3 linked regions of the Daphnia pulex genome follow. Each later gene encodes a partner of the first gene's protein in a complex. Links are inferred from orthologs where the notes say so. Each region holds a gene or a part of one and is shown in the gene's direction. Other genes may lie near its edges. The genes, in order: transportin-3-like, cleavage and polyadenylation specificity factor subunit 6-like and serine/arginine-rich splicing factor 1-like.

Region 1 (7,424 bases):
ATGTTGTTTTTTTTTCTGATTTTCTGACGATTTTTTCCCATTGAAGTCCTTCGTTACACGTAATCCTCTTTTTTACTCGGCTGACGACGACGCTGCTGCCTCTCTATTTTTCTTGGCCTTTTTCCGTCTAGCTGTTTTTTTGTTTATCTTTTGCTTACGAGTCATCAGGATAGGGTTGATCTCGCACGAAAGAGATTCTTCCACCAGGTTCTTGTCGACGACAGGATCATCCAAGTGAGTCGACTGATGTATTTCTTCAGTAGTTGCTCCTGGCAAAGTCTCTTGCTGGTGGACGGCCAAAGCTTCAGGTACAATTATTTCAGGTGTTACAACATTTATTTCAGGTGCGTGGTCGATGGTTGGAGACGCATTAATCAAATCGGCAACACAAACGCCATCCGTTGCTGTAGGAACTAGCTCCTCTTCCTTCTGGTACGATCGTTGGCCATTGATGTAATATGCAACTTCTACCTTATGCCAAAGGTTTATGTTCACCAGAAAATACAGAGAACCATCGCAGGTTTTATAGGCTCGCCTCGCGTCTGATGGATGGACAAAGACAACCGCCATGCTTTCGGCATATTGTCCTGTTTCGTCGGCAAACATGGTGTAATGGGCCACTTCGCCAATGATGAGCTGAAGGCGCTCAACAATATCGGCCACGTTAACGGAAGGCGGCAATTTACTTAACAGAATGTACTCATCGGCTGCTTTCTCGTTTTCGACGAAAGATGGCCATGCCACCGGTGGTGATATGACATCGTCCACGGAGTCGGTTGATGCTGTCTGCTGATCATGTTCATCGGCTGAAGTTACATCGGTAGGTTGGGAAACTTCAACCGGTGTAGGAGAAATAGTTGGAACCGGCTCCTCTTCCTTCTGGTACGATCTTTGTTCATTGATAAAGTAAGCGACTTCGATCCTGTTGCCTTCCGAGAGCATACCATCGTATTTCTTATACGCCCGCCTTGTGTCCGATGGGTCAAAGAAGAAAAACGCCATGTTGCCTATGTATTGTCCTTGTTCGTCGGCAAACATGATGTATTTCGCCACTTTGCCAACATGTAGCTCAAAGTGATGGAGGTAATCGTTACCGTGAAGCCAAAGTGGTAGGTTGAATAAAATTATATATTCGGAAGCGACCAATGGTTCCAAGTTGGTATCCGAGCTGGATGTCCACTGGAAAAATACTTCGTTGGGATACTCGTCGGTAGATTGAGCTGTTGCAGGACAAATTGCCAAGTCGTTCGATGGTTGCATATTGGGTTCCTCACATCCAACATCTGGTGTTACTTGAGTGATGGTTTTCTCTGATGTGTTTTCACCCAGCAGTCGAAGGACTTCCGTTTTCTTTTCGTCGGTTCCAATCAGGTTGTTATCGCACAAATTGTCCATTTCATCTCCGATATTGTCAGCGGATGAAAGCAAAGAAATGGCTTCTAGAACACGGTCTTTATGTTCGATAATAAGTTTTGACTTTGTTTGGTTGTCAATTAAACGCATATTTTCCTCTTCAAGGAATAGTATTCTTGCTTCCATGGCACTTTTATTAGAGGCTGCCAACTCATCCAGTGCGTTTTTGAGCTTCCGATTGTTGTTCTCGGAGAGCGCTAGTTCAAACTTCAGTTTAGCCAGTTTGACTTTCAGGATCTTATTTTCGGCAGCAACATTGCTTTTTTCTGCAAGCTTCTTTATCAAGTTGTTGTTATTTTCTTGATAGCTGTCGTTGTTGTTGGTAATTGATGGTCTGGTAGTAATGGCGGTACCCTTTCGGGTTCCCAACACGTCAGGTTCAACACGAATACTCTTTTTAGTATCCACAACTGTTTGCGATCTGGTAAGTTCAGTACAATGACTGACAAAACACAATCCAATCCACATAACTAAAGTAGCAATCAAATCAATTGGGGAAATCATGATAAAGACCGATTGAAAGCTTCTTTGCAGTGAGAAATTATGAAGGAATAAACTACTATGGCGAGTTTAAGTATATTGTCGTTGATGGCGTCGCCTCCTTATATGCCGGCAGGGGAATCCCAGCACCTTCGCACGAGTTATTTTCCTATGTTTTTCCTAGCTTTTTAATTAAACTTCTTCTTTTAAACGTTTCATATTGGATTAAAGTCATAGTTTCAGAATTAACAAATATTGTTCAATTATTTTCAAACTGAATACAATTAAATATCACCTTTTTATTTGCATTTATAATGTAGGTTTTGGTGTTTCTGGGTTATGAATCATAACCCTCATTGCATCATTGCTCATGCAATGTTTCCGCAATTGAAAAAAAAGCGACAGTGCGCCAACGGTGGCCAATTGGCAAACTTCAACATTTTCGAACAACTTCTACTTTCCCGCAGACCCGCACGCATCCAAATTTGGAGAGAAAAATCGAGTCGTTTTTTTCAATAATTCTTCTGTCTTATTCGCTTATGAAATGAATCCTATTTCGAATCTCATAAAAAATTAAAAATCTAATGCTTGAAATAAAAACTCGTTTATGCTAAGAATTCAGGAATGCGATTCGTCATCATCAGCAAGAATGTTCGTCTTAAAATCCTGTATTAATAATTTTGGAGCCCTGCATCCACGTTTAATTTTCTAAATTGACTTTGTGACGTATGTGCGCTTTCCCCTGTACTCACTCTACATTGCGCTACCGCAAATTCGCCAACTATCACGTTGCTTCAAGCTTTTATCTTGTCTCATAAATCACCTGGAGCTATTTGCCCTAATGAGCTTTTCAAGGTAACATTCTGTCTCGCTTTGATGGAGGTGGAGACCAATAAGTATAACTTTACTTCAATAAACTTCTGAAAGATTAAAAATTGGCGCGCATAGTTCAACAATTTATTATTACCCCGAGGACTTTTTTTAAAAACTATTTCTTCATACATTTTATTCGTAATCATCATTTATACACCAGGTTTTTTAAATATTTGTTTACTTGGTGCAATCATATATGTTTCAGTCGGACCGTTCATTCGACTTTCCGAGAAGAGCAATCTGTTTCTTATTTCCCGTTGTCGTTAATAATTATTAAGAGAAATGTGTCATCTAAAAGATAAGTAATTCCTTCTCTGATTGATCAAGTGCATATGAACACATATTTTTGCAGGTGGGAATTCTCTGGGACGTTGGAAATATTACTCTGTGCGCCGGTCAGTCCCAGTCCGTACGGTACATGGCCCGTGCCCCATTTGTCGTGTGTGTGTGTGCGCTTTATTACCCCGCAGCCGACCGTCGTCGGATTAGTGAAACCGGCATCGTTGTTGATCAATTTTTGTTTTAGCCTAGCAGACATTTCTCTGTCAATTTCGGGTCTGTTACTGTGTTTGACTTTTTGATTAGTAGTACTCCTCTGCAACAACTTCCCGGCTTGCTCACATTACAACATTTTTTATCGTCTTGGATTAAAGGGTATAACAATTGAAAAAACATTGAAATAATCATGAACGAGCTCCCGGCCATAGAAGTTGTGTATGACGCCCTTAACGCCCTATACCATAATCCCGATCCTGTAAGTAAAGAAAGAGCCTCGCAATGGCTGGGGGATCTACAAAAATCGGTTCGTACACATCACATTTTTCGTTGGTTTTTTTCCAAGAATTAGTAACATAATGGCTTTGACTAGATATTTGCATGGAAGATAGCCGATCATTTATTGCATGTAAAAAAAGACATGGAATCATGCTACTTTGGGGCTCAGACATTAAGGACGAAAATTCAGTTTGCATTCCACGAGCTGCCTCCTGAAGCACACAGTTCATTGCGAGACTCCATGCTCGATCATTTGAGGCAGATAAATGAGCACACTAATACTGTGATTGTTACTCAGGTAATTGAAATAATTTCCAGGTGCAATATGTAAAAAAAATAATAACTTTTCCATTTTCCTCCCCAGCTGTGTTTGGCATTAGCTGATTTGTTATTACAAATGACAAGTTGGAATACCCCAATCCAGGATCTGATTCAGACGTTTGGACCAAAAAACAATTTTGAAACCACTCACCTTTGGCCCTTGTTGGAAGTTTTGACTGTGTTACCTGAAGAAATGGGCTCCAGAACTTTAAGGCTTGGAGCAAACAGGAGATCTGAAGTTCTCAAACTTTTTGCTGCCTCAACACAAAATGTTTTGAATCTCTTGGTTGGCTATTTAGTTCAAGTTTAGCTTGAAAACAGTTCCTAACTTTCAATTTTTACAGGATTCCTGTTTGACCATTCCATCTTCAGACCGTTTGATTGGTGTGCGATTGTTACGATGTTTTTCATCCTGGGTGCATTTGCAAGCTGTTACGTTACACCAATTAACAAGTTGTGCCACATTAGTTCATGTATTTGCCACTCTCTCTTCTCACCATGTAAGAGTTACATTTGATTCGTCCCTTATCAATTCTGTCATCATTTCTAAATCTATGTTTACAACACAGAGCACTCCATTGCTTCACGAAGCAGCATGTGATGCCGTTTGTGCTTTGCTTCAAGTAGTTGCAGATCAAGAAAATGAAGATGCAACCGCTCAGAATGGTCAATTGACCTCTACCTTGAACGAGCTTCGTACTCTTGAAGATTCTCTTGTCCAAAGTATTAAAAACCTTGAACCTGCCTACCATTTAGCTGTTGCGGAGGAAGATACGGAAAAGTATGTCTTTATTGATTTGCCTGGCCATGACTTGGTGTTCTCATTGCAGTCTATTTTTAGAGCGTTGAACTATTGTCGTGTGTTCACTGAAATAGCCGAAGCCTTGCTTCATCGGATGTTGGAGTCGACCAAAAACAACAACGGAACGACGAACGCATCTAATTTGTTTGGTTTATTGGATCTAGTGCTGACCTGCGTAGGTCATCATGACTACGAGGTAAATTATATCACTCTGGTTTTATTATTAATATATTTCATTATTTTCAATGTTTTTACAAGGTTGCTGAAATTACGTTTGGATTTTGGTACAAGTTATCTGAAGATCTTTACCACGCCAATGACGACGATCGAACCGTCAAGTTCAAACCTTATATCGAACGACTGATTGGTGCTGTATGTCGTCACTGTCAAATGGAACCGGATCACGTAAGAATCAATTAGTTTTACAAGTAGCAAAAATAAGTTAGCATCTTATTTTATAAACAGGAAGGTGTGCTGGAAGACGGCGATGATTTCGCTGGCTTTCGTTCGCGAGTGTCTGAACTGGTCAAAGACGTGGTCTTTATCGTCGGCTCGGCTTCCGTTTTTAAACATTGTTTCTACAGCATTCATGGCCAAAACAATCTTCCGTGGGAGGTGACAGAGTCGGCACTATTTATCATGCAAGCTGTAGCCAAAAACATTTTGCCGTAATTCTCGTTGGATTTAATTACTCCGGCTAAGGCCATTTAACAATTCAATTCTTCCATTGCAGTGACGAGAATGAGGTTGTGCAGAGTGTGATTGAGTCGTTACTTTTAGTACCAGAAAGCGCCCATGCAGCAGTGCGTTTTACAACACTGCTTCTTCTGGGTGAACTGGGTGATTGGATGGATAAACATCCTGCCGTTGTCGGTGAGCCTTTTTTCTTCTTTGATTTTGCTAAATTATTATTCAATTATCACTCCCGATTTTGTAGAGCCTGTGCTTCATTGTGTGCTACGTTCCATCAATGATCCGTCGTTGGCTTTGGCCGCTTCAAATTCGTTGGAGGCCATCACCAGCATTTGTCGAGATCATTTGAAATCTCATTTCGATATTCTACTGCAAGTAGTGAGTGCATTGGTCACGTTACCCATTCCAACGGAGACGGCCGTGCGAGTAGTCAAAGGGGTTACCAAAGTCTGCAGTCGATTACCCGACCATCAGATTAGCGATGCTCTGCACCAGCTTTGCAAGATTCATGTCGATGAATTAACAAGAATTTCCCAGGTAATATACCTTGCAGTTTTACTGATTACCGACGATAATCGACAAATATTTTTTTAACTTTGGCAATTTTGCTTTCAAAGGTGGAAAGTCAGTCGAAAATCGTCGCCAAAACTAGCAGTGATCCGGTATACTGGTTGGATCGTCTAGCCTCAGTGTTCCGTAATTTAAATATCAGTATAAAAAAGAACGAACAGCATCCATGCCAGTCAGCCATTACTTTTACCTGGCCGTGTTTGTCCATGACGTTGGATAAATTCCAAACTGACAGAAGAGTGATGGAGCGCTGCTGTAGGTGCCTCCGATTCGCTCTACGATTGATTGGCCACCAGTCTGCTCCTCTATTGCAACCGCTCGTTACTCAGGTTTGATTTTCTGTCATCCTTCATGGTAGCGTGCATAGATTAATTTCTCGTTCTTTTCCTTTTAGATGGTGCGTCTGTACAATGCTCATCATCATAGTTGCTTCCTCTATTTAGCAAGTATCCTAGTGGACGAATACGGTTCGGAAAACGAATGCATCGGCGGTCTCATTTCGATGCTGGAAGCGCTGTTACCGCGCGCCTTCCAGCTGTTGCAAGAACAGCAAGGTTTCTGCCACAATCCGGACACAGTCGATGACCTTTTCCGTCTATTCGCTCGCTTCCTTCAGCGCAATCCAGTCGCATTCCTCCATAGCCCGGCGTTACCAGCCATTTTCGATTGTGCCATGCAGGCGGCTGCACTGGATCACCGAGACGCCAATGCCAGCGTTATGCAGTTTCTTACCGAGTTGATCCACACCACGCGGGCTCGAGAGGTTTGCCGTAATATTAGATAACTTGGTCGGATGAAAACTTGACGTTTTTTATTTAATACAGGAGAAACTCTCATTTGAACTCCGTGACCAACTCCTGTCAACGGTGCTTCGCCCTAAAGGTCAGATGCTCATCAGCACTCTAATCACCGCCTCGATATTCTCGTTGTCAACGTGTTCATTACCCAATGTGGCAGACGTTCTGCTCGAATTCATGCTAGTCGATCGACAGGTGAGCCCAATTCTTTTCGTCCAACAACTTTATCCGCGTTTGCTAATCAATATTCATTTCATGGAACAGAGCATTTCCAGCTGGATGGAGCAAACGCTGGAGAATCTACCTCGTCAGTCACCTGCCGGATGTGTCGCCGTCAGGCCCGAGCAGCTACAAGATTTCCGCCAAAAAGTTATCAGGTAACTTTTTTTAAATTGTCCATCCGCCAAATAATGATTTTGTTTCTTCTATTAATAATTCTATATTTCTTATTTTGATTCAGGGCGGAAACGTCGTTGGAATTGTCAAATGCATTGCGTGATTTCTCCAGACTTTATCGGTGAAAACCTGACTTTTGTTGATGACTCATTCGATAATGTTTTTCAAGCTACTAAACGCTTCTTCCTAAAATTCAATTAATGAGTTGGTTGTTAATTTGGTTAATTTTTTTTGGCTCCTACTCATTTAACTTTTACTTCGGCTAAATCCTCCTCCCACCCTTGTACATTTGGGAATATAATCAA
Region 2 (7,266 bases), on another chromosome or scaffold:
TGGTTTCAACCCATCATCGGCATCGTTGCCAACGGCTTGAACCAGACTCAAACGAATTACCTCTACGCCACGTCACCACAGTTCAAAGGTATCTTTGTAACCGGCGCTCCTGGTTTCCTGATGTCCAACATTAACCCCAGGAGAGGACTTACCAACGGGACTCCGGTCACCTTTCACTCCTTAGTGCTCGATCCCAGAGAAGATCGCCAACGACTCGTGGCCGCCATCACCGAAGGTAACAACGACGACGTAATTCTACAATACAATCCCACCCAGGTCTTGGTCAAAATCACCCACGCCGATCCCAACGACTTCATCAGTTTCACCGCAGTAGAAGGAGAAGCCGTCATCCCTCTGTCGCAAACACACACCAGCAAACCATTCGCTATCACCGTCCTGGGGAAACTCAACAAAATCAAACTGCAAACAATTTCACACGGCGTTGACTGGGGATTTTCCGTCACTCTTCATAAGATACAAGGACAAACCTGCTCCAAATTAATCGTCGACCTCAACCATAGACCCTTCATGCCGCAAATCACTTTCCCCGGATTCTACGTGGCTGTCTCTCGCGTTCGACGAGCTCAAGATCTCCGCATCATGCCTCTTCAACCCAGTAGCTACAATTTAAAGTTCCTCAACGGGCTACAACCATCCAAAAAACTCATCACTTGGATGAAAGGTTACAATGCGCACGGAGATTGGGATGCCAGACTCATCCCATCTGAATTGCTCGACACGCCGCTGACTACTAAACGCAAAAAAAAGGATACACCAACAACAAGTATTTCAAACTGCCGAATCAATTTCTAATAACTTTATAACAAATGAATTGTTTTTTTCCTTTTTTTACAGAACCTCCCTCAAAAAGCACCAAAACTAAAAAGGCGCCAGCACCACCGAAAAAAATGAAAACGCACGATACAATCAACGTAGGCGCCTCTACTTCCAGTCAACCAACAGCCCCATTACCGCACACTTCTACCTCGTCTTCAATTGAAATGGAATTTCCTACCCTGAGATGTGAAACAATTTCAGAAATCAACGAAGACAATACTTCCCTTTCTCAAGTCATCATCACTAGACCTATTGCACGCAGCGAATCGTCTACAACTTCATCATCATCGTCACTTTACAGTACATTCAACATCAGACATCTGTCTTCAGTAGAATGTCTATTTCTCTTTATGTTCATTCTATGTATTCTGAGTATCATTGGAATGGTAATCTACTTCAACTAATAAAATACTGTACTGTACCCATTCAAAACTCATATTAATAACGCTCACTACTGTATGCATTAATAAGTTTTCGTCACATAAAATAAATCAATAAACCATTTGAAAAACATCACCATGTACGAAACATTCATTGAACCCGAATGTCATCTTATAAAATATAAACTTTTTCATCAGTCAGATAAAATGAAAAAAGAAAATGCTTCAACTCCATTTTTCATTCCACGTCCATGACCTGATAACTGAAAGAATTCTGTCAACGAATTCACTGAAGTGACTAGATACAAACATATTTTTTTAAAATGAGGAATGTACATTGACAATGTAACATACAGCAACTCTCCTTATTCCAATCCACTACTTTCCTTCTCAATTAAAAAACTTAGAATTTATATACTATAAATGAAATACAAACATTAGCCGCTAGGTGTCACGACGAAAACTATCAATCGCAATTTTCAGTGCCCTATCTACTTATCTCTAATGTATCATATCCCCTTACAATAAAAAAAATCTAAGAATCCTAATAAATGACAATAATATTAACCGACCTTCAAAAAACCTTCCAATAACAAACAAAAAATTTCTTATTTCAATATATTTCTTCACAATCCATTAAATCGATTCAATCATACCATTCGAGCAAGATTACAAAAAAAATTTTGTCAATAAAAATTATTAATTGCCAACACCATCTTCCGCAAAAAAAATACAACAAGCATCAATCATTCAAACATTTATATCATTCCTATCTCTGCAATTCATTACATAAAACATTCCATATAAATGAAAAAAAATAGATTGACTCACCACAGCTTTCATTTAATGTTTATCACATTTCAACATTTCACTTCGATAAAAAAAACAATCTTCATTGCTTTCACTTCATTAAATTGTAACACATAATAATTCACACAACATTAGCTAAACTCATCACAATAATTCATATCACTAATCACTATTCATATCTGACAAAAAACTCACTTTAAAAAAATTCTTCTCACAAAACTGATGCACCAACTAACAGACAAATATTCAACAGCAGCCAATTTGAAACAACAACTTTCCAACTAAGAATCTGAATCAACACTGAATATCTGACTGTAAAACATCAAGAAAAAAAGAAAAACACAAGGTTATACTAAGAATAATGTGATATCAACAGTACTAAGAAAACATCAATCTAAATGAAGAACTAACCAAGGCCACGGACAAAATAACAACCACGAAACACTGGCCCTGCCAAATTTATTTCCTTTCCTCTGATTTTATTCGACACAAGAGGTGCAACAGTGAGGTATAGAATGACAAACAGAGAAAACAATACGAAAACTTAATTTTTAAATTTCCTAATCAAGAAAAAAAACGAAAGGAGACTTATAAAATCTCGAAGGTGCCACAAAGGGGCTTGATTAATGGTTAATGAAATGGACTCTGTCATTTTTTCGTTGCAGCAGAGAAAACATTGGGTAGTACGTTTATAAATAAAGTAAATACGTTAAGTTTATGATAATTGTGTTGCTTAAAGGACTTGTTCTTTTTTATTTAACATACTTAAGAAGCATCAACATACTTTTTAAAACTTTAAGTACGTTAAATCTATGATAAGTGTGTTGCTAAAAGTACTTGTTCTGTAAACATACTTAATTTCATTTTTATAAACATACTTATTTTTTTGTAAGCATGTTACACTTCGAAGAAGCATGAAATTTTGCTTTTCAGTTTGTTTATAATTCTTACCAAAAAGCGTAACGTGTTAAGTAATCTTAAAGTGCTGAAATAGGGCTAAAATAAGCATCCTACCGAGCTTCCGTGTAGCTTTTAACTGTCGGTCAACAGTATCAAAATAATGTTTTACCTGTCTGACAAGAAAAGACTTCAAATATACTAGGATAACTAGGAAATTATGTTGGATCGTGTCGGATTTATGCGGGTTTTTTTTTTTTGCAAGATTTTTGCGGGATTTTGAAGAAAATCGTGCAAGATAAAGTGCAGGATTTTTAAAAAAAAAAAAAACGGATTTTCGGGACTTTTTAGGCAACCCTGCACGACTTTGCTATTTCAGAAGTGGCAGCACTGGTGGAAACAGAGAAGAAGTTCAAGACTGTGGTCGTTGGCCATAGACTAAACTTCATAAAATGGCTGACGTGCCTGATATTGACTTGTATGCCGACGATCTTGGTGATGATTTTCATGGTGTAAGTTTACGTACTTATTTATAGTTACCGGAAGAATGCGATGTTAATATTCTGTAGTTCGTTTATCAATAACTTATTTATGTACATTTATGTTCATTTTCTGTTGTTATCCCACCGCAGTGTTTGGCGTGGCGTCTTTGCTGTTTACCGTTATTAGATGAGACAGCATCATTTAACTTATTTTCTTAACTGATTACAGGATGGTGACGAACAAATTGGCGATGGCGTTGACTTGTATGATGACGTCTTGACATCTTCAACGAGCATCAAGCAGGAACTAAATGGAAAGGAGAAGATCTCAACGCTATCTTCTCATATCACATCCAGCTCTCTACATGGTTCATCTTCATTGATCGGAACTCCACTTCAGCTTCATGGCAGCAACAGCTCATCACAATCCAAAAGGATCCAGTTGTACGTGGGCAATCTGACGTGGGTACGATTATTCAAACCTTTCCATTTATAAAACCAATTGTTCAAAGTGTCGTTTTATTTATCTAAAAAGTAATTGTGCTGTATATCGAATCATTCCCAGATAGTTCCCAATTGTTTATTTTTATTTTATCGACATTAATCAAATTGTTAAGTCTGTGATATCAACCTAGCCACCATGTTGTTATGATGGAGGGGCTATGATGTGTGATAAAACTGTATGATGGCATTCAAAATTGAAAGAAGGGCATCATGAATGTTGATGTATGTATGTGTATGTGAGAAGGCATACCAATTCAGGGACATGAACGACCATGCATGTTGTACGCTGTGTATCTGCACTTTTTAAATAATTTTTTTTATCATCTATTGATCTATCATAAGTAGTCCATCAAAACTTATCATTAGCCCCTATCAAAACCTTTGACTGAAGGTTTTTGAGTTGTGTTGTATTACGTTTCTCAGGATGCGGTCCTCCATAGAACTCCCCAGAAAAAAAATTCTTGTCAATCAGTTTTGCGTAACTGATGTGCCACATCCATCGCCCCATGTTTTTTTTTCTCCTTTGATCTCTGAAATCGTCATCTCTGCCAAACGATATTTGAGTCGAATGAATTGTTAGTTTGGGGTGGGATATCGCTTGATATGACAATCTCAGCCACGTATTATAACAACCGCTGGCGCCCATGTGCAGGAACATCTTTGATGATGACAAGAAAAAGAAACTGCACTCTGGCATACACTCACTACAAATTGCGCGGCTGTGTAAAGGTGCCCGATCAAAATATCTTTTATTTGACCAATACAATTATGGTATGGATGTAATCGGCAGAAAACGATTTTCATGCTTTGTTTTTCTATATTATCTTTCTTTCTTTTGTTTTTTAAACAAACAAACCCAATCCAAAACAACAACAAACGACAACGACACAACATCAATTTTGTGGTTGTTGGACAATACAGTGGACCACAGATGCCGACGTGGAGAATGCAATCAGCGCGATTGGCGTCCAAGACCTGGTGGAGGTGCGATTTCATGAAAACCGAGCCAACGGCCAGTCGAAAGGCTTCTGCGTCATCACCGTCGGTTCCGAGATCAGCGCTCGTCAATGCATGGACAAACTTCCCAAAAAGGATCTGCACGGACAGACGCCCATCGTCACCTTCACATCCAAACAGGCGCTCAATCAGGTAAGATCAAAACATTTCTTAATCGTTTAGTGCTGCTAGACGAATTTTTTCCAAGTGCATACCAGTAGAACCATTGACTGTCTAAATTGAATACAGTTCAAAGGTGGGAAAGTGTAATGCAACATTAAAACCAATCAAGTCTGTAAACCTACAAGTGTCGTACAATTTAACACTTAACGGACGACTTGACTGGAACATCTTTAAACATTTATGTTTTATGCATTTCTTTTAATGTCAAAATATTTTTCTTATTCAGTTTGAGGCGCAGTCAAAGAGCCGCCCATCTAGACAATCAAGTCCTCCGCGGAGTACCGGTTCTGCTCCATCCGGAGTTCCGTCGCTAACAGTCGGATTACTCGGACCTCCTCCAATGAATGGGCCTCCTCCTAGGATGATGATGGGTCCGTCAGCTTCTTCATCCGGACCCCCACCTTTAACGAGTCTCTCATTACCTCCGCCACCTTCAGTTCGTGGTCCACCGACACCCGGAGGCATTCCCGTTCCGCCACCGACGCATCACCTTCTTCCACATCCGGTCATGTCACCTACGGTCGTACCGCGAGGTCCACCACCCGGCATGGGGATGCGTGGGCCTCCGCCCGGAATGGATATGAATCCTCATCGTATTCCGCCTCCTGGCAACGGCCGGCCAGAATGGGCCAACATAGTCCAGCAGCCAGCTCCTCACGTCAATCCGGCATTCTTCCCTCCGCCCGTTGCGGCACCTCCGCCTGGATTCCCTCCACCGATCGGCCCACCACCACCATTCATCACTGATAATCGGCCACCGCACACCAATGAGCCGCCAAACGTCAGTGAAGCCGAATTCGAGGAAGTGATGGGCCGCAACCGAACAGTTTCTTCTTCCGCCATTGCTCGAGCTGTTGCGGATGCCTCAACTGGTATGTCTTCAAGCTTCATTTTGCTCATTGAACCAAAATCAGTAGTAACTTATCTGTCTTCTTCATCCAATCAGGTGATTACGCCAGTGCAATCGAGACGCTAGTAACGGCCATTTCGCTCATCAAACAGTCAAAAGTGGCGCATGATGAGCGCTGCAAGATCCTGGTGTCTTCCTTGCAAGATACGTTGCACGGCATTGAGGCCAAGAGCTACGGATCACGAAGAGGTACCCGCATCATCTAGTTTCTTCTTTTTTAAAAAACATTCTTAACGTGAAATTGTTTTGATTGTAGAACGATCCCGGTCGAGAGATCGCGAAAGGAGGAGAAGACGTTCACGCAGTCGGGAGCGCGAGAGGCCCAGTGAACGGGACCGGGACAGAGACCGTGAAAGGGATAGAGAAAGGGAACGCGAGCGTGAAAGGGACTACGTTGAACGTCCAAGGGAGAGAGAGCGTGACCGAGACCGCTCTCGAAGTCACGAGCGAGACTACCGAGAAGTGCGTAACCCGCGAAATTACGAAGAACGTTACTCTTCGCACGAAGAGTCCAGGCGAGGAGATTACGGCGGCGGAGGAGGTGGTGGCAGTGGTCGCGGTGGAGGATCTGATCGAGACAAGGACCGTGAAAGAGATGGTGGAGGCGGAAGTATGCGAGGCGGACGAGGCGGCGATCCAGGGATGGATCGGGAACGTGAACTACGTTCTCGTGACGACAGGGAATCCCGGAGCATGAGACACTAGAAGACGAGCATCATATACGGATGAGAAATGAAACAAACAAAACGATTGACAACTTTAATTATCGTCATTAATCAGAATATCTTTCTCCCCTCGCGTATTTACCGCGACTTGGTAGCATTTAAACACACGTATGAACCACGATTTTTTTTATTTCGTTTAATAATTTGCTTCGGTGTGTCACTCCCTCCCAAGTCCCTAAAAACTTTCTTGAAACAATAAACATTTTCAATTTCATTCACTACTTTTGTACGTCATCGGTTGATTTCTCGAAACATTAGTATTTAAGTCCATGAAATGTAGAAATTGATTACAAAAGATGTGATGGATGTTGAATTCACTGGGCGGTTTATCAGTCGGTAGTAGAGTCCCGACGAAAATCAATAGTGGGTTGCGCCCGACATCTTCGATTTTGTTCGTCTCCATTCACATCAAATTCAAGATTTTTCGGATGCGTGTTGAAATGGAAAGGCGATGTGAGGTTGATGATGATTTATAGAAGGGGGGAAATCCTCAAGTGTGTATTGCGCATGTGGAATGAGCACGATTTTTAAGCCCGCAACTC
Region 3 (6,875 bases), on another chromosome or scaffold:
TTGTCAAACTCTTTTTTTATGTATGCAGCAATATCCTATGAGAAAAACGTATTATGAATCAACCAGCGAAAGCAAACAACTTTGTTCCTTTAACACATTGTTTTTAATGTTTGAAATATCCAATTACTCAAGTATTTTGACTGACCTTTTCAATATTGTACTTTTCCAAGGCTTGTGTTGCACAGTCTACTGCATCCTGCTGCATTTCCTCCGACATATCCGCATTTTTAATAACAGCTTTTCGATCGGCCATTCTTTTAAAATTTTGTCAAAACTTCTGCAGGAGGAGATGAAAAGTGGGAATGAATCAGACCTGTTGCGTTATAGGGCCACTTTGAGTGCTAAAATGATGAATAAATCAATACTTGTTTTAAAGGACCAGCCTTAAATCTTTTCTTTTTTTCAAAAAACCTAGAAGTTTCTACTGCACAGACCTCGGCAACAGTAAATCAACTATAGAGTCAAGCACACTCAGAACTGACAACGTTAAATTCAAGATCTTTCTGACCGGCGCAGATCTGCAGACGGTTAAGTTCTTCTTCAATGATATTAACAAAGGCCTGTTACCAGCAACTTACATGAACTCTGATGTTCGTAAGTCAAGTTGTGTCCAAAGCGCCACCAGTGGACTGATTCATTCAAACAACATACTAACATACTATCATGATAATATGGTTACAATTTGGTTAGTAAAATACAAGGTTAACAACATTTGATTTCTCATTTATTTTTCATATTGCATTCATGAGGGAAAAACGTTTTTGACTGAATGAATGTTTTCCGTTAGAGGGCAGTAGTAACCGTAGCAAAAAAATGCGGGACTAAAATTGACAGTCAATTGCCTATCGCACAAATACCTTGCTCCAACGTATTAAGGCTTTAAGTATCGGTAGAAGTAAATGATAGAACCAAGTGATTCTAACGATAGTTACAAAAGGCGCGTTTTTTTTAAACAGGGAAATTATTGAAAGTCTATCAACTATAATTAACAATAATAATTATTCACGTTTCTCCTTGCTAAAATTTTTAATTAAAATGAAATGTGTGACGTCAACATTTATAAGCGTTTCCGTTTGCTGCTGTTAGAATACTTTTTTAAATATCACATTTCCGGGCGGAACGGACAAAACAAAACATTGTGAAATATAATAAGGAACACAAAAGAAGAACATAAATACTTTTTTTGTTATTATTATTTCAAATCTAAGTTGTCTTATCCCTTATGGCACGCTCAACTATTTTTCAGACTTACAATTTTCAGAGCTATTGCTTATGGCAAGCCAACTCAAAATTTCACAGGAAAAAAGGAATAAATGCACCACTGAAAAATTAAAGATAGGTTATTGTTGTAACCAATGCCGGTTTATTTATACCAGTTCTTGAAAGGAGATAACCCCCAGAGCAAATGACCTTGTCACAAAGTTGATCGTTACGTCAATGCGGTTGAAAAGAACTCGACCTTGATGTACGATTTTATACCAGGTATAGATTGCACGCGAACGTCGTTACCAAGAGCCCAACAAAAATGTCGCGCAATAGGCTCTGCATGCAAGGGTCATTCAGTTAATTGCACCAGAACAAAGAAGTACTCAAGATAACAAGCATAATTTTGAGATAACTGAGTTAACCATTAATAGCTGTGGTTCGGTCTTCGGTTTGCGCTTACTAGAGTGCCACCGTGTTCACTTTGAAACCTAATTATTCACAAAGCCACTAATATGAACTTATTTCAACTTAATTTTCATCCGCGATTTATTTGCTAGATTTATAGGCAAACAAAAAAAATTAAAATCACAAAAATAGTAACTATAAAAAAAAGACAAAAAATAAAAATAAAAGCGTTATCAACTTGCTGATCTGGCAATGCTCCATGGCTGACGCCATTACCCGTTCAGAAAAATTTACGGCATTTTTCTGTTTGACAAGGGGCGCCTAACACCCAAGACTACTGTGACGTCTTTTTTCGAAAAAGCAAATTCCGTATTCGAATTCGATTTAACATACACATTTGGCAACTAACCGTAAGTGACAAGAAACAGTCAGTATGTCAAGTTCTCGCAACAATGAAGCCAGAATCTACGTCGGTAACTTGCCACCCGACATTCGCACTAAGGACATTGAAGACTTATTCTACAAATTTGGAAAGATTGCATACATTGATTTAAAGAACCGACGAGGACCTCCTTTTGCTTTTGTTGAATTTGAAGATCCCAGGTATGTTGCATGGTTATATTTGTTTCCTTGTTTAGTTAATTACAAGCACTTTATAGGGATGCTGAGGATGCTGTGCATGCTCGTGATGGCTATGACTATGATGGATATCGTTTGAGAGTGGAATTTCCAAGAGGATCACAGAATTCTGGTGGTGGACACAGGTCAGTTTTTCTATCCTCACATACCATATTTGTAATTTAGTTGTGATTGTTTTATTTTGTTGGTAAAAGAAATTATGACAAACAAGTAAAAATCCTAATTTAATTTTTCATAATATTTATTTTTTAGGGGTAGTGGTGGTCGAAGTGGAGGAAGAGGTGGTGATGGAGGTAGAGGAGGGGGTGATGGTGGGGGTAGCAATGGTGGAGGCAGGAGTCGAGGGCCACCAGCAAGAAGAACAAATTACAGAGTCATTGTAACTGGTGAGTTAAACATTTAGTAAAGTTTTAAACCATCATTTAAAGCCACTTTTGATATTCACAGGTCTTCCTCCTACTGGATCATGGCAAGATTTAAAAGATCACATGAGAGAAGCTGGTGATGTGTGTTATGCTGATACCTATAAAGATGGAACTGGAATGGTTGAATTCCTTCGCTACGAGGATATGAAATACGCCATCAAGAAATTAGATGACTCAAGATTCCGTTCACATGAGGTATATTTTCTACAAATCTTGATAAACAAAGTTTTCAAAATTATTCGTACGTTTACAGGGAGAAGTATCATATGTGCGCGTTAAGGAAGATAGCGGAGACGGTAAGTTATATTTCAATTTTTGTTTAAAGTAAATATTGACCTTGAATTTTTTCTTCTATAGGTCGCAGCGGCGGAACTCGTGATCGATCGCGATCTTATTCTCCAGCCGGTGGTGGCGGCAAAACACGTGGAAGTCGCGGCTCCCCCAGCTATTCCCCCGTTCGTCGTGGTGGTTCATATTCCCGTTCGCGCTCACGCTCACCTCGTTCCAGATCACGATCTTAAAAAAGTTATGGAAACGAGAAAAAGGCAAAACTAAACAAAAAGACAAAAGTTGTGCGATGTGGACAACAAAAAGCTTAAGGATTGGAAGGACTGGAGGAGGAAAGGGGTCTTTGGTATTGTCTCCATGGTTCATACTATATTTTCAAAATTCTTAGATGAATAGCAAATCTTTTAAATTGCAAAAACCAATTTTTTTTTTTTTTACAACAAGCTACATCAAAGATTTCAATTTTTTATGAGAAACTCAAAATATGTTTCTTGGGTTATGATTTTGGCATTTGCAATTATTGCTACTAATCATTCAGTTTCTTCTCGACGTACACGTAATCCTTTTTGGTTTCGAATACCCTCAGAGCTCCCCGATTCCAACCAACTAATTTTTTTTTTTCCGTGAGCAACCTCATCCTTTCCTTTTTCCCCTCCCTCTTGTAATACACAAAATAGCTGTGCGTCGAATAAACATGATTCTCATTTTCTTCCCCTTTCTATTTGTAGCGTACACAGCAAGGTTATTGCTCTCTCTGGATGGGATTGTTGTGGGATTTGGATTGCATTGGATTTGGATTTCATTGGAATGGATTTGGATGGATGCATTGTGGATTGATAGGTGACAGGATCTGGAGGATATGCTGGAAACAGCAACCGCTTCTCCTTTGTCTACAACCGTCGTGGTGAATCGCTGTGGACTTGCCTTGTCAGGACCCGTTTATTTTAAAGAGATCTGTTGGACTCCGGCACTTTGGAATTGAGCCCGACCTAAGACAAGAGTTAACTTAGGATTGCTTACCCTTTGATTTTCAGGCACTTTTTTCATCATCATACAGAGAAAGAAGAAACCGACGGATGACGACAAAATGGAAATAATACATGCCTTGCAAATGGTGATATTTCCTTGGAGTACAAAGAAATTCCTTCGATGTTTACCGATACTTCTGTTTTCGGCACATTGGAAACAGTATTACCATTTTAATGACAATTTTTTTATGTATGATACGATTTAATACAACCAGTGAAATGCTTTTGAAAAAAAAATTATGACCAAAATTATTCTGTTCTCTAGACTAAAACAAAAATTTGATGACGTGTTTAAAATACAAAGTTGCTTTTCGTCTTAAACACAGAAAGAACAATTAAAACAATTCGCATTACGATTACTCACCATAGAAACTTAACGTAGAAACTGTTTCAGAGAAAAAAAATAGGTTTTTGTTTAGTTTTGATTTCTTTCTAAATTTATATCTCCTTGTCCTTGGAACCAAAAATGAGAAACAAAAATGCTTTGAACTTGAGCGCTTGCTTCTTCTTTTTCTTTTTACGAAAGTCCCAGTACTTCCTTAAGATTCCTCTAGATGGCGTCTTCGCGTTGCTTGGGTAACCAAAAACGTATAAAAACGTACAAATTTTCCCCCAAAATAGTGTAATTACACATTCACTTTGAGCATACTCAAAAAAACATATAGTTTGAAATTATATATTTGTACAGCGTTTTGAGTTTATCATCTGAATTTCTACGATTTTTCTGTGCATCAATAGGCTCTTATCGGTTGTTAACCGGTCTCTAAACAGAGCAAGTTTAGACCTGCAGTTACGAACTACAGTGGAAGATTGAAGCATTGGTAAGAATAATTTTGTTTTTTCTTCAATAAACCGATGATTTTATTTCACAATACATTCGTCATTTGTCATAGATTAAACATTGTTAGAAGATATTTTCAGTACGTTGAAAATTGTCACTATAATAACATTGTAGCAGAATGTTTCTCTTCAGTAAACAACAACTTTTCTTTCTTTTTTTTTAGGCATCTGTGATATAGGTTTTTTGGGGTATTTCCAATCATGGCTACTACAAGCATAAAAAGACCTAAAGAAGAAGATTCACTCGATGGACCTGGTCGAGAAGCAAAAAAGTTAAAATCACGATTCCAGGATGACAGCAATGGAGATGGAAAGAGTGACCAGGATACTACTGAACAACTCTCTTCTTCTCAGATTAGAGAAATGATGATGAATGCTCAAAAGATGATTGAGGAAAGGAAACGATCTCTCAATCAACCGCCAGCTCTTCTCAAGACTACCCCAGTGCTCTCATCACTTCCAACACCTGTAGCTCCTAAAGCCGTTCCCCCATCTTCAATGGATGAGCGTGCCAGAAAGATTGCTGAACTACAGGCTCAAATTCAGTCAAAACTAGCCACCTCCACTTTAGCCACATTGAACTTGAGTCTTCCTAAAACAGCCAGTGTCCCTGCATCAACAGGGGAAGGGTCTAATAATGAGCCGAAACCTGGCCCACTTATTCTCAACGCTGATGGAAGGACAGTTGATGCGACTGGTAAAGAGATTGCCTTGGCCCAATACACACCAACTCTCAAGGCAAACATTCGTGCCAAAAAACGCGAGGTGCTCAAGACTCACATGGGCAAAGGATCTCAACAACAAAGCGAGGAAGCGGGAAATTTGACGGAAAGTCGCTTCTTCGATCCACGTGTTGCAGCCAAATCCTCCGTGAGAACACGCAGAACCTTCCACTTTCACGAGCAGGGCAAATTTCAGCAAGTGGCATCTCGAATGCGAATGAAGGCTCAGTTAGACAAATTGCAAAGCGAAATCTCTCAAATTGCCCGTAAGACTGGCATCAATTCAGTCACTGCACTTGCTCTAGTTGCCCCACGAGTTGGCGATCGTCAGGAGGAGGAGGACATTGATTTGGAATGGTGGGACTCGGTCATCTTGCAAACACGAAGCTACGAAGGCGAAGACGGACAGCCCAATTTACGCCAGGAGACGATTACCAATTTAATCGAACATCCCATCCAAATGCGTGCTCCCACCGACCCGCTGGCCTTGCCCTATTTGCCCGTCTTTCTCACCGAGAAAGAGCGCAAGAAGTTGCGCCGCACCACTCGACGTGAAAATTGGAAGGAGAAACAAGAAAATATCCGTTTGGGACTGGAACCGCCACCTCAAGCAAAAGTTCGAATTTCTAATTTGATGCGCGTGTTGGGCAACGAAGCCATCCAGGATCCAACCAAAATTGAAGCTCACGTCCGCGAGCAAATGGCCAAACGACTTCAAAATCACCAGGAGGCAAATGCCTCTCGAAAGTTGACGGCTGACCAGCGACGCGAAAAGAAGGAGAAAAAGCTCCAAGAAGACACGACAACGAGCGGTGTGCATGTGGCGATTTACCGGATCAAGGATTTGTCCAATTTATCCAAGAAATTCAAAATCGAGACCAATGCCAAGCAGCTTTACATGACGGGATGCGCAGTCATTTTCAAGGACGTTAACGTCGTTATAGTCGAAGGAGGCCCTAAACAGCAGAAGAAGTACAAACGCTTGATGCTCAATCGCATTCGGTGGGAAGAGGACGCCGTCAAGGTTAGCAAACACGACACTGGTTCATCCTCCCAGCCCGAAACGCGGAATTCCTGCCAGCTCGTTTGGGAAGGCACGACCAAACAACGCAATTTTGGTGACCTCATCTTCAAACTTTGCCCATCGGAGGTTGTGGCTCGAGAACATTTTCGCAAACACGGCGTCGAACACTACTGGGACCTGTCTTATTCCACAGCAGTGCTGGAAGAAACTGAAGAAAAGTGATCGGTTTCATTCTGCCATCAACTTTAACTCTTTATTTTTTTCTTTTCATTTTTGAACCAAACGTTCATCTTTGAAT

What was found.
Region 2: the proteins of transportin-3-like (region 1) and cleavage and polyadenylation specificity factor subunit 6-like are in contact, whole or in part, in a crystal structure (PDB 6GX9), measured with the Homo sapiens proteins. The link is inferred for Daphnia pulex from reciprocal best matches to the Homo sapiens genes TNPO3 and CPSF6. Residues at the interface, in NP_036602.1 of Homo sapiens: Arg620, Asn656, Arg657, Glu660, Arg661, Arg664, Arg667, Phe668, Arg671, Ser698, Cys699, Tyr702, Ile706, Asp709, Asp747, Asp750, Asp751, Arg754, Arg758, Gln761, Cys793, Arg797; in NP_008938.2 of Homo sapiens: Tyr521, Arg522, Glu523, Arg524, Ser525, Glu527, Arg528.
Region 3: the proteins of transportin-3-like (region 1) and serine/arginine-rich splicing factor 1-like are in contact, whole or in part, in a crystal structure (PDB 4C0O), measured with the Homo sapiens proteins. The link is inferred for Daphnia pulex from reciprocal best matches to the Homo sapiens genes TNPO3 and SRSF1. Residues at the interface, in NP_036602.1 of Homo sapiens: His155, Arg157, Arg160, Thr167, Tyr254, Ile256, Glu257, Glu304, Glu340, Ile341, Phe343, Asn344, Tyr347, Arg348, Glu351, His352, Lys355, Thr356, Arg620, Asn656, Glu660, Arg661, Arg664, Arg667, Phe668, Arg671, Ser698, Cys699, Tyr702, Ile706; in NP_008855.1 of Homo sapiens: Ser116, Arg117, Arg118, Ser133, Trp134, Gln135, Lys138, Asp139, Arg142, Glu143, Gly145, Asp146, Cys148, Tyr149, Ala150, Asp151, Val152, Tyr153, Arg154, Val172, Arg173, Asp176, Asn177, Arg181, His183, Tyr189, Ile190, Arg191, Arg198, Pro200.

Annotation. Positions count from the first base shown.
Region 1 is NC_060023.1:7,819,745-7,827,168, reverse strand, and holds the start of transportin-3-like, read left to right. Parts: upstream 1-3,290; 5' UTR 3,291-3,451; coding exon 3,452-3,568; intron 3,569-3,634; coding exon 3,635-3,838; intron 3,839-3,904; coding exon 3,905-4,147; intron 4,148-4,205; coding exon 4,206-4,361; intron 4,362-4,430; coding exon 4,431-4,642; intron 4,643-4,702; coding exon 4,703-4,859; intron 4,860-4,921; coding exon 4,922-5,068; intron 5,069-5,128; coding exon 5,129-5,331; intron 5,332-5,396; coding exon 5,397-5,536; intron 5,537-5,600; coding exon 5,601-5,893; intron 5,894-5,973; coding exon 5,974-6,255; intron 6,256-6,320; coding exon 6,321-6,689; intron 6,690-6,750; coding exon 6,751-6,918; intron 6,919-6,987; coding exon 6,988-7,100; intron 7,101-7,183; coding exon 7,184-7,244; 3' UTR 7,245-7,424. UniProt on the Homo sapiens protein: Importin, which transports target proteins into the nucleus. Specifically mediates the nuclear import of splicing factor serine/arginine (SR) proteins, such as RBM4, SFRS1 and SFRS2, by recognizing phosphorylated SR domains.
Region 2 is NC_060024.1:13,142,959-13,150,224, forward strand, and holds cleavage and polyadenylation specificity factor subunit 6-like, read left to right. Parts: upstream 1-3,298; 5' UTR 3,299-3,376; coding exon 3,377-3,436; intron 3,437-3,635; coding exon 3,636-3,872; exon of another isoform or gene 3,873-4,513; coding exon of another isoform or gene 4,514-4,681; intron 4,682-4,831; coding exon 4,832-5,059; intron 5,060-5,315; coding exon 5,316-5,961; intron 5,962-6,035; coding exon 6,036-6,188; intron 6,189-6,255; coding exon 6,256-6,704; 3' UTR 6,705-6,942; downstream 6,943-7,266. Other genes in the region: uncharacterized protein LOC124200042, read left to right, coding at 1-784, 856-1,241. UniProt on the Homo sapiens protein: Component of the cleavage factor Im (CFIm) complex that functions as an activator of the pre-mRNA 3'-end cleavage and polyadenylation processing required for the maturation of pre-mRNA into functional mRNAs.
Region 3 is NC_060024.1:10,559,043-10,565,917, reverse strand, and holds serine/arginine-rich splicing factor 1-like, read left to right. Parts: upstream 1-1,862; 5' UTR 1,863-2,044; coding exon 2,045-2,214; intron 2,215-2,270; coding exon 2,271-2,375; intron 2,376-2,502; coding exon 2,503-2,636; intron 2,637-2,697; coding exon 2,698-2,870; intron 2,871-2,928; coding exon 2,929-2,971; intron 2,972-3,032; coding exon 3,033-3,196; 3' UTR 3,197-3,671; downstream 3,672-6,875. Other genes in the region: U4/U6 small nuclear ribonucleoprotein Prp3-like, read left to right, coding at 5,033-6,799. UniProt on the Homo sapiens protein: Plays a role in preventing exon skipping, ensuring the accuracy of splicing and regulating alternative splicing.